Linked DNA regions of Ovis aries. The protein of the gene in region 1 interacts with the protein of each later gene in a biochemical or structural test. Links are inferred from orthologs where the notes say so. Each region holds a gene or a part of one and is shown in the gene's direction. Other genes may lie near its edges.

Evidence for each region.
Region 2: the proteins of ITSN1 (region 1) and DNM2 form a complex in vitro, tested with the Homo sapiens proteins (2 studies listed by BioGRID and IntAct, with this or other methods). The link is inferred for Ovis aries from reciprocal best matches to the Homo sapiens genes ITSN1 and DNM2.
Region 3: the proteins of ITSN1 (region 1) and DNM1 form a complex in vitro, tested with the Homo sapiens proteins (2 studies listed by BioGRID and IntAct, with this or other methods). The link is inferred for Ovis aries from reciprocal best matches to the Homo sapiens genes ITSN1 and DNM1.

What each region holds. Positions count from the first base shown.
Region 1 is NC_056054.1:122,553,501-122,557,663, reverse strand, and holds the start of ITSN1 (intersectin-1), read left to right. Parts: upstream 1-1,363; 5' UTR 1,364-1,624; exon of another isoform or gene 1,625-2,744; intron 2,745-4,163. UniProt on the Homo sapiens protein: Adapter protein that provides a link between the endocytic membrane traffic and the actin assembly machinery. Acts as a guanine nucleotide exchange factor (GEF) for CDC42, and thereby stimulates actin nucleation mediated by WASL and the ARP2/3 complex.
Region 2 is NC_056058.1:13,098,865-13,102,364, forward strand, and holds part of DNM2 (dynamin-2), read left to right. Parts: intron 1-2,958; coding exon 2,959-3,101; intron 3,102-3,500. UniProt on the Homo sapiens protein: Catalyzes the hydrolysis of GTP and utilizes this energy to mediate vesicle scission at plasma membrane during endocytosis and filament remodeling at many actin structures during organization of the actin cytoskeleton.
Region 3 is NC_056056.1:8,035,095-8,038,594, reverse strand, and holds part of DNM1 (dynamin-1), read left to right. Parts: intron 1-390; coding exon 391-500; intron 501-1,406; coding exon 1,407-1,518; intron 1,519-1,978; coding exon 1,979-1,990; intron 1,991-2,377; coding exon 2,378-2,548; intron 2,549-3,500. UniProt on the Homo sapiens protein: Catalyzes the hydrolysis of GTP and utilizes this energy to mediate vesicle scission and participates in many forms of endocytosis, such as clathrin-mediated endocytosis or synaptic vesicle endocytosis as well as rapid endocytosis (RE).

The sequences.
Region 1 (4,163 bases):
TTAGCTTAAATCTGGAGGGCAAATCTGGACCTAGAGTTACATAAACCCGAACGCCCCTGTTTTACGTAATTGTTCAACGGGGAAAAAAAAAAAAGTGACGGAGGAGAAAGCAGTATTATGGAACCAGTAAGGCAGAAAGAAAAAGAAACTCAAAGTATAGAAACAAAAAGACGCGGGAGTGGATAAACTCCAACCTGGGAGTCTCGGTGGAAGGAGACTTTTGCTTCCATGAAAGTGGAGGAAGATGCAAACTAACATCCACCATCAAAACCAGTAAAAACCAGGAAATCGTCAGGCAACTCAAGTCTCTCCCGCCCCTCAGCGGCCTCAGCTAAGCCAGCTAGGCCTGAGCCCAAGAGGTGTTAAGAAGGTTGGGGTGCGACGGAAACCACCCTGCACCCCAGGGCTGGACGGTCTCGCGGGGCGTCTCCCAAGCTTCCGCCCAAAGGCCGGTTTCCCAAGACACGTAGCGCGTCTCTCGGTGCTCACCTGCCTCGGAGCGGTTCTAACGGCCTGCAGCTTCACCTCCGCCACCTTCAAGCCCCTCAGCAGAGGACCCGCCCCCTAAGCACTAGAGCCTCTTCCCATTGGTCAGGCCGCTCGTCAGTCTCGGACTCTAGAGACCGCCATAGCAACCAAACGCAGAACTACATCTCCCGGCATGCTTTAAGGCGACGCGCTTGGGGCTACCAATTAATGCGAGAAGACCAGCATAGCAACCGAACGCGGAACTACATCTCCCGGCATACTCCAAGGCGACGCACCTGGGGCTATCAATCAAGGCGCGAAGTCCTAGAGGCCGACGGGTTCAGCTTTATGTAAATTTGTTCAAGACCACACCCTTCCTAATTCCAACCACATCCCCACCACCTTCCCGGGACTGTGCCCCGCCCTCCTTGTGCCGCCACATTGTTATCTCCTGTGACACCTGCCGTTAGTTGAAGACGTCCTAACTTGTACCTCGCCTAGCACAGCATCGCCAAATGGCACCGAGACCATGGAACAAAACGTCCCGAAGCCCCACACCAGACGCCTCTAGGCACGTCGGGAAACCCTACGCCAGACGCCTGCTTCGGGAAAGGGGGCGGAACGGCGGGGGGCGGGGGTTGGGGGTGGCCAGGTCCCGCCCCCTCTGAGCTTGCTGATTTGTCGATCCGGCTGTCACTCCCTCCTCTTCCAGGTTTTTTTTTTTTCAGTTGCGTTTCCCCCGCGGTGGGCGGGGCTAGAGGGAGGGGGCGAGAGGAGGTGTGAGCCCTTTCTTTCGATTGGTTGTTTTTTCACTGTCCCCACCCACCCCCCGTGGGCGGAGACGGAGGGGCGGAGAGGGCGCGGGGGAGGCAGGTCCCGGGGGAGATGAGGAGATAGGCGGGAGCGAGGGACTGAGGGAGAGGAGCGAAGGGAGGCCGAGAGCTGAGGTGGAGACGGGAGGGCGCGCAGCTTGGTTGCTCGGTAGTACGGCGGCTCGCGAGGGAGAATCCCGGGCGGACTCCCGGACGCCCCGAGAGGCGGGCGGGGATGGTGTGCGGGGCTGCGGCTCCTGCGTCCCCTTTCCGCGGCGACTGAGCTGCACTGATTTTTTTTTTTGTCCCCCTGAGGCGGCAGCGTGGACCCGCCTGGAGATGAGGTGAGGAGAGGGCTGGACCGCGTCGGCCTGCCTTGCACCCGGCAGGCGGCCGGGGCGAGGGTGGGCGCGATGGCCGCCCGGGACGCCAGTCCACCCCCCAGCCCCGACCCCGGGGCCGGTGTGCGCGTCCCTCCCGGCGCCCTTCACCCTGAGCCGCACGCCCGGGAGGCGCCCTGTGACTCGTCCTTCCCATCCTCCCGAGCCGCCGGGGGTGGCTGGGTGGGTGGTGGTGGTGGCGGCCGGCTGGCACGCGCCGGGAGGCCGGGGCTCCGCGGCGGACCGAGGCTGGGGGGTGGGCGGCGGCCGCGGGACGGGCTTCTGGGGGTTGAATGGGCATCGGTCGCCGTGGCCCGCCGAGCTGGGGGGAGGTCCCGTCCTTTCTCCAGGGGCACGCGGGGCAGTGGGGTCCCTTGCAGGGCTGACCTCGCTGCCCGCGGTCGCCCGAGTGGGGCGGGCCGGCCGAGCCTCGCCTCCCCGCCAGCCTGCCGGGGATCCGGAATGCCCGGCCTCTCCTCCCCGGCTCATCCCTTCTCTCTCCTCCGCCCGCAAAAAAAAAAAAACAAAAAACAACCTACCCTGTCAGTGAAGGGCAGTCAATGCCGTTTTGGCCCCGCGTCCTCCAGCTGGGACTGACTTGACTCCGGTGGTATTTCACAGAAAGCGGCTCATCCTTTCAAGGGGGGAGCGCGTTCCCGGTGTCGGCCGCTTCCTTTTCCCCTTCTTTACGCACTGACACGGTTTTACAGTGTGGACCGAAGCCACAGTTACCAGGCTCTGTCTGGCTTGACCGAGGAAAATGCAGTCAGAATCCCCAGGAAAAGGTAACCGACGAGGAATGGGGTTGCGCCTTTCCCTCTTCTTGTTTGCCTTTTGGATTAGGAAGCACCTTCGTAGATTACATTTCCTATGGGCATCTTTTGTTGTGATTCATACTAAAGGCTTTGTTTTTGAAGAAAACCATTAGGGGCGTCTGTGTTGAGTTGAAGGCTCTGGAGATTTTTTGATAGCCTCTGAAAATGAAAGTTTCCTTTAGAACTTTGCCATCCTCGGTGCTATTCTGGAGGCAGCACCAGCCTGAAAATTTAAACAGATGCGACTCCGAATAGTTGCGTTTCTTTGTGCTTTATCTGCTGGCATCCTGCTCTTAATGTTTACGTGGTCGGGACGTCCAAATAAAACAAGTGCAATAAAAAGTATAGATAATAAAAAACAAGTACCGTGCCAAAAATGCGTCTGGAAAATCTCAATTCTGTCATCGGGGAAACAGTTTTTACTAATCCCTTTGAAAGGATGAAGACCAGGCTCAGAGTTTATGTAGTGGACAGGATCTGAGGGTATGAAATGGGACCATGGAGCCAGCAGGCCGGCTGGTATATGTAGTGCTACTCTTACTGTCTGAAATAGGAGTATATTTGTTGGGATACCCTTATTTTTTATATGACTTAAGGTGCAGAAGCTTAGTACCCCCCCTAAAGTTATGATTTCTACTTATTATGGAGAACAAAATACTGTGTTTTGTTTCTAAATTTTTAATAGTTCACCTGAAACATGTTATTTTTGAGTTTGCTTATAACAAAAGAAGAAAAACATTTTTCAGTATTGAGTTCTTTCTGTAGGACAGTTGTAAAGAACCCCAAAACTTTAGGTAATCCAAATTCAGAAATGAAGGACACTAATTTAGTGATGGTCCAAAAGCTATTTAAGACTTCTATAAGTAGCTGCAGTAGGGTGAATTTCTGATAGAATTGTTTTTGAAGGCTATTTATTTAAGAATGTATCTATTGAAATTTCTGAGGCACATGGTACCTTCACAAAAGTCTATTATTATTCTGCCTGAGTAAGAGAGGAAATGAACACATTTTTGATGTACTTTGGAACCCTGTGGATTGTTCAGATACTAAGCATTGTGAAATAGGGCATAAAACAAGTGGTAGCAAGTTAGTTCCCTGAAATGTTTGTGTCTCTTAGCTTTTTTTTTTTTTGCAATTGACTAGCAATTTCCTTTTTCTTAATGCTTATCCCTATTATTGGAAATAAAACTCTGCTTAAATTCATGTTTTCTCCAAATTACTAGATTGAGGCAAACTCAAATCTCCATAAAGAGGGTTAAGGAGGAGGTGTGATTAAATCCCTCTACTCTTACTCAGCTTTTTAATGTGGATTTGTGAATTATAGGGAATTAATTACAGGTCGGTCGGGTTTATATTACTCAGTTCACATTCCACTGCCGTAGGGCTCTTCTCTTGTGAATGATCTTTCTCTTCTGAATAGTTCCACTTACTGGCAGGTTTCTCAACGTGTAGACCTCAGATCACTTACATCACCATAACCTGAAGTTCTTGGTAAAAATACAGACTCCTGGAATCTGATTTCCAACAAGCTCTCCAGGAAGTTTTCTTACACAGCAGCATTGGAGAACCACTGGCATCGTGGTTCCTTCTCACTGAGTGGCCCCAGACTATGTCCTGAAGAGGATGGCGTGTCTTTCAAGTGACAGAATAGCTTTCATGCCTTGGACATCTAATAAAACACCATGACC
Region 2 (3,500 bases), on another chromosome or scaffold:
GCTGTAAACACTGCCTGAGTTTCTCTGTCCATGAATGCAGAAAGGACTTCTGAGAAGCACATTTCCCCCTTTATCCATAGTCATGGATGCCCCCCATTTTTCTTTTTTTAAACTCAACAGTATCTCCTGGAGCTCTGTCCCTATAGAAGCCTTCTTCACTCTTTTTCATGGCCCTGTAGAAGCCCCTGGACACACGGGCCCTCATCGGTTTCAGTTCAGTTCAGTCGCTCAGTCGTGTCCGACTCTTTGTGACCCCATGAATCACAGTATGCCAGGCCTCCCTGTCCATCACCAACTCCCGGAGTTCACTCAGACTCACGTCCATCGAGTCCGTGATGCCATCCAGCCATCTCATCCTCTGTCGTCCCCTTCTCCTCCTGCCCCCAATCCCTCCCAGCATCAGAGTCTTTTCCAGTGAGTCAACTCTCCGCATGAGGTGGCCAAAATACTGGAGTTTCAGCTTTAGCATCATTCCTTCCAAAGAACACCTAGGACTGATCTCCTTTAGAATGGACTGGTTGGATCTCCTTGAGTCCAAGGGACTCTCAAGAGTCTTCTCCAACACCACAGTTCAAAAGCATCAATTCTTTGGCGCTCAGCTTTTTTCACAGTCCAACTCTCCAGGCTCTTTTTGGAGAGCCATGTGGCTGGTTTCTGAGGCTTCCAGTCAATAAAGGGCTAATGTTCACACTTGATCTTAGCCAAAAGGTGAGAAGGTGTTGGGCTGCTGTTTAATAGCATTGTTTTGCATGTGTGCCAGGTTCTCCAAGAGTGAAATCTGTGAGGTGGGGTTTTGTAGCTCCGGTGTAACAGGCACTGTGGTCCTCTGGGGCCTTGGGCTTATGAGTTATCCCTCCTCGGTGCTATATGGTGGCACCTTGGGCCGCAGGGTAACAGTTTAAAAGTTCTTCCTGCCTGCAGTGGGACACAGTGCCAGTTGGGGAGATGGGCCCTATCCTGGGGAAAAGGCATATTTCTTTTTTTAATTTTTTGGCCATGCCACATGGCATGTGGGATCTTAGTTACCTGACCAAGGATTGAACCTGTGCCCTTGCAGTGGAAGCACAGAATCTTAACCTCTGGACCACCAGGAAAGTGCCAGGGGAAGGCATATTTTTGACTGGGGGCACTGACTCAGGACAAATCGCCAGGTAAAGGCTAGGAACACTTCAAGTGTTAGGAAGCGATGTGGGCTGGCAGAGGGTGGAAAGGCAGAGCATACCTCTCAGGAGGACAAACAGGGAAGTGAGTGTCTGGTGGGAGGGGCCCTGCAGGAAAGGAAGCGGGGGTCTGCCTGGGCAGAGGGGCGGGGGGAGGGGAAGGGAAGTAAAACTGCCTGCAGGTGCCTGGGGCTTCCTCTGAGAGCCCAGCTGGCCTCCTGGGAGCCTGGGCCCACATCCTGGTGCTTCCCAGAACGGGGTCCCCCCACCCCTCTATCACCCCATGAGCTAAACAGGGTCATGCCCCAGAAAGGCGACAGGGACCAGAGTGGACTGCCGCCCTCGGGGACCTGCAGCTCCCCAGGAAGGGGCCCCCGGTCACAGAGGGTTTCGGGGTGACCGTCAGATTCATGCCACGGTGCGCGAGTCTCCTTCACACCTTTTTCCTACCTCGGTATTTTGTCATTTCTTTGTCTTGTAGGACAGAATGCACCACACAGCGGTGCGTTTCCATTTGGGTGGTTTGAGTTGATTTTATGGCTTTTATTTATTTTTTTCATTCCTTCTCTCTTTCTCTTTTGAAAGAGTATTTTTAAAACGACAGTCCGGATACAGTGAATGTTCCATTTCCTCCCATGCCGCGACAGGCCGCCGGACTACCACCCCCAGGCGGCCCGTGTCGCCACTTCCTGGGCTTCTTTCTCAAGGCTATAAACCCTGGAGGGGCCGATGCGCCTGGACTGCCGGCCTCCCTCCTGCCTGCTCATCCCGCGTGCCCCGCCTCCTCTCTTTTCCTGTTCTATGCTTTCCATCTTCCTTGTTGCCACCCGAACAGTTAACATATTTACCCGCTGCTCTGTACCTGACTTGTTTCAGTTTTGGCCATGCCTTGTGGCATGCCGGATTTTGGTTCCCTGATCAGGGATGGACCCCATGCCCATTGCAGTGGAAGCGAGGAGTTCTAGCCACTGGACCGTCAGAGAAGTCTCTATCTAGGTTTTTCGTGAACAGCTCATCTCAAGGCTCACTACCTAATCTTTTCTGCGCCGCTGCCTCCTTTTAAAGTTTGTGAATAACGAACGAGTCCCCATGGTTAAAAACCAAACAGTGGGGGGTGGTCTGCGGGCAGGGTCCTCCTGAGCCTCCTGAACCATCCTGCACCCTGTGCTGATGAAGGTGAGTTCTCAGTTCTCCCCATCTTCTCAGAAGGGACCACATCCTACATGTGTCCTGTGCCTTTTCCGGTGAACTGTTTCTGTCATGGTTTGTAGGGCCTGTTCCTGTGGTCTGTCCATACACCATGGCCTGTCTGTCAGTCCTCCCGTGCCTGGGTCCTGCAGTGGCTTTGTAGCCTTTACAGCTTTATTCACTTATTTATTTGGCTGCATCAGGTCTTAATTGTGGCACCCAGGCTTTGTTGCCCCACGACCTGTGGAATCTTAGTTCCCTGACCAGGGATCAAACCCCTGACCCCTGCAGTGGAAGGTAGATTTTTAACCACTGGACCACCACCAGGGAAGTCCCTCCTAGACTTTGTTCTGTTCTCCAGTGAGCAACACTGGCTGTTCACGGCCAGCACTTGGGTCCTGCTCTCTTGATCCATGGTGTGCGTGGCCCAGTTGATCCACCCTCTCCCAGGTCCCCGTGGGCTGTCTGCAGCCTTGCGCTGCTGTGGACCAGGCTGTGTCACCTTTCCCTGCTGCTCGGGGTTTCCATTGGTCCCTTGAGGCTGGGGATGGAGCAGGTCTGCCCCTTCTCAGCATCCTGCCTGTGCTGACCTCTGACTTCTCTCCCACAGCAACTGACCAACCACATCCGGGAATCACTGCCGGCCCTGCGCAGCAAGCTGCAGAGCCAGCTGCTATCCCTGGAGAAGGAGGTGGAGGAGTACAAGAACTTCCGGCCCGATGACCCCACACGCAAGACCAAAGCTCTGCTGCAGTACGTGCCCCTCCCTCAGCCTGGCACTCCCCCAGGAGGCTCGAGGGCCTCCTCCCAGCCATAGGCTCCCCGCCCATCCATCTGTTCAGCAAACCCTTCACCGGAGCCTCCTGTGTGCTGGGCCCTGTCCTGTGCACTAGGGTTGCTCCAGTGTGTGGGGCAGACACCCCATGTGCTCAGAAAGGGGAGAGGAGAGGGATGAGACAAGATAAGTAAATAAGAACATGTGAATAATCTGTGAAATGGCAAAATGTCAAAGTGGGGAAGGGCTGGAGAGCGCCAGGGTAGGCTTGGGGTGCTGTTTAAAGTCAAGTGATCAGTGAAGAGTCAGGCAGAGACTGAAGAGGTGAGGAAGCGGCTGTGCAGTCCTGGGGGTGGGGGCCTGGCCAGTGCAAAGGC
Region 3 (3,500 bases), on another chromosome or scaffold:
AGTCAGAGGCTTATCCAGCGCAGACCCCATTGGCCAGGCCGGGGGCGAGAGAGGCTGAGTGTGGGGGTCCCTGGCTGGGGCCGACTTGGCTTGTATCCAGGGCTTCTTGGGGCGGGATGTGGGAGCCAAGCTCAGCCTCACCACCCCGGGCTCTTGAGCTCTGGCACTAATGCGGAGGTGGTGGGAAGGGCTTGAGCCAAGGTGTCCAGCAGGCCCAGGGCTCTGCGGCCAGGCTCTCACCAGATGGCGCCTGCGCAGTTCTAGGGGGCTGGTGGTCCCTAGTCCCAGGTGCCCACCCCAACCCCTTGCCCCAGCACAGAGCATCTTTACGGAGTGAAGTGGGGGCAGAGAACAGCGCCAACCTCACCATCACTCCTTGCTCTCCCTCAGGAGAAAGAGAAGAAGTACATGCTGTCCGTGGATAACCTGAAGCTGCGGGACGTGGAGAAGGGCTTCATGTCCAGCAAGCACATCTTTGCCCTCTTCAACACGGAGCAGAGGTGCCCGCCTGCCCCCATGGGGCCCGCAGATCCAGAAGGGAGAGGCACCTGCCCCCAGCCCCCCAGCAAGTCATTCATTTGACAAACATTTGTTGAGTTTCTCCTCTGTGCTAGACTCATGTCAAGATCTCCTTCCTGGCCTGTGCCCCCCGCCCCCATTTCCTTTCTCCTTTCCACCTGACCTCCCTCCCTTTCCCCTTCTGTCTCTCCTTCCCTCCTTCCTCCCCTTCTGCAAGCACTTGGTTAGTAACTGCCCTGGGTAAGATACTGTCAGTACCAGGCCTCTCACCTCCCAACCCAGGGCTGACTCTAGAGGCCCTTCTCCCACTCAGAGATGCGGGTTCAATACAGCTGCCAAGAGGAGAAAGCCAGGGAGGGGGCAATGGGGCTTGAGATCTAAACCAAGGACTGCAATGTCACGGGTGCCCCTTTGATGAGGCCTCAGTCCCTTTCTAATAGAGTATTTTACTGCTCATTTCACTGAATTCTCACAAGGACCCTAAAAGGCAGGACTTGTTACTATTTTTAACTTTTTATTAATTTATTTGGCTGTGCTGGGTCTTAGTTGCAACACACAGTATCTTCGATCTTGTGGCACGCAAGTTCTCTAGTTGCAGCATGTGGGATCTAGTTTCCTGACCAGGGATTGAACTCGGGCCCCTTGTATTGGGAGCATGGAGTCTTAACCACTGGACCACCAGGGAAGTCCCAGGAATTGTTATTATTAACCCATCTTCCAGATGAGAACACTGAGGCTGGGAGAGAGGAAGGGACTTGCCACAGCTGGGAAATAAGAAAGCCAGGACTGGCCCTGCAGGCATGATGACCCCGGTCCACGCGTGCCCTTAACTACCAAGGTGAAGGGGCTTTGCCCTGTCTCCCCTCACCACTGGCCCCACCTTGCAGGAATGTCTACAAGGATTATCGGCAGCTGGAGCTGGCCTGCGAGACACAGGAGGAGGTGGACAGCTGGAAGGCCTCCTTTCTAAGGGCTGGCGTGTACCCTGAGCGTGTTGGGGTGAGTGGCAGGGGAGGTAAGGGAGGGGCAAGCAGCTTAAAATAAGGGGTCCTGCAGGGGAGCCACCCTCAGTGATGCCAAGCCGTGCCATATTTTCGAGGTATTGGGCTCCGAAATAGCAGGGATCCTCCCCCTACCTGCCTCGGGGTGGGATCAGTTAAGCCTTCCTCCCATCCTTCTCCAGTGCCATTTTACATGACCCTTTTCTGCTGCAGATGGCGTTTCCTGTATCCCTTTCATATGATGGTGGTTTCTTGTGATTGCTCTCACTTTTCTCCCCTCTTTCACTGTGACAAAGTCGAGAGTTGCCTTCGAGTTGGGGTGCAGCGCCCAGATTGCTTACTCAGTCTCTCCTCTTTCCTCTCTATGTGTGTCTGCTTCGGCTATGCTCACTGGTGGCGGCGGCGGTGGTGGCAATGCTGATGTGGTGACCTCTGTGGCTTTGGTGTGGGCCTCCCAGGACAAAGAGAAAGTGAGTGTGCCCCTCCCTGGCAGAGTGTGCCTCTGCCAGGCATCTCTAGCCTAGGGCTAGATCTGGCCAGGTCTTTAGAATCCAGAAGGGACCTTGGAGATGTCCTTTTCCTAATTTACGGACTGGAAAAGTAAGGCAAATTCTAGGTACTAGAGTCAGAGCCAAGACAAGGCTGAATGAGGGCCTGGGGTCCTGAGAGGCACTAGGGTGGGCACTCGTGTCCAGAGACCCAGAGCTATGGGGGAGCTGGTGTCTTTGTATATAGGCCAGCTGCTTCTCTCTGTGCTCCAGCTTCTAGCCATCCTTGAAGGGGCTGGGACCCTGGGGATGCCTTGTACCTGGCTTTGAGGGCCCAGCCACCCTGATGCCCTTTGTTCCTAATGGCAGGCCAGTGAGACGGAGGAGAACGGCTCGGACAGCTTCATGCACTCCATGGACCCACAGCTGGAGCGGCAGGTGGAGACCATCCGGAACTTGGTGGATTCATACATGGCCATCGTCAACAAGACTGTCCGGGACCTCATGCCCAAGACGATCATGCATCTCATGATCAACAACGTGGGTTCACCACCTTGTTGGGGGGCAGTAGGACCAGGGAAGTGGGTGGCCGGCTTGGCCTCGGGTAGACACAGGCCAGCCACGGGGGGCTGAATCTGGGGAGGGAGGCAGGGGTCCATGCCAGAGCTGTCCGATAGAAACGTCGTATGAGCTTCACATATTACTCTATAGATTCACACAACCAAATTGTTCCAGACATGCTTAAATTTTTCCAGAAAGGGCTCAGAATCTGCATCTTTTGAGAACTCCCAGACCATGTTTTGAAATACTTCCCCCAGAAACACTTCCACCTGTAGCTTAATGAAAAAGCATAGCCCTAGGGGAATTAGAACTGTGTTGAAATCTTGGGTTTGCCACAAATTCCCTGTGTGATTCTAAGCAAACAACTACCCTCTCTGAGGCTATGTTTCCTTATTTGTAAAATATGGATAATAATAGAATTGAGAATTAAATGATTATAAAGTGCATAACAACACAGTTCCCAGCATGTGATATGTGCTCAACATATATTTAAATAACAAATAAATGAGACACAAGCCAATGGCATAAAAAACCTCCACAAATATTCTCTCCACAAATATTCTCTCCACAAATATTCCAGAGCCTGGACCAGGTAACACTGAGGGATTTTTAAGAACATTAACCCACCTCCTAAACACAGAGACTTGTATTTCACCCAGTCCTGGCACAAATTCACACCTGGTACTCAAGGGCTCAGAACATTTTAAACTGTCATTTTCCTTATTTCGGTCCAGTGGAACATACAAATCTTTGGAAAGGGTGTAACTACCCATTTTGGGCTTCCCAGGTGGCATTAGTGGTAAAGAACCTGCCTGCCAATGTAGGAGACATAAGAGATGCAGGTTTGATCCCCCTGGAGGAGGGCATGGCAGTCCACTCCAGTATTCTTACCAGGAGAATCCCATCGACAGAAGAACCTGGTGGGCTACAG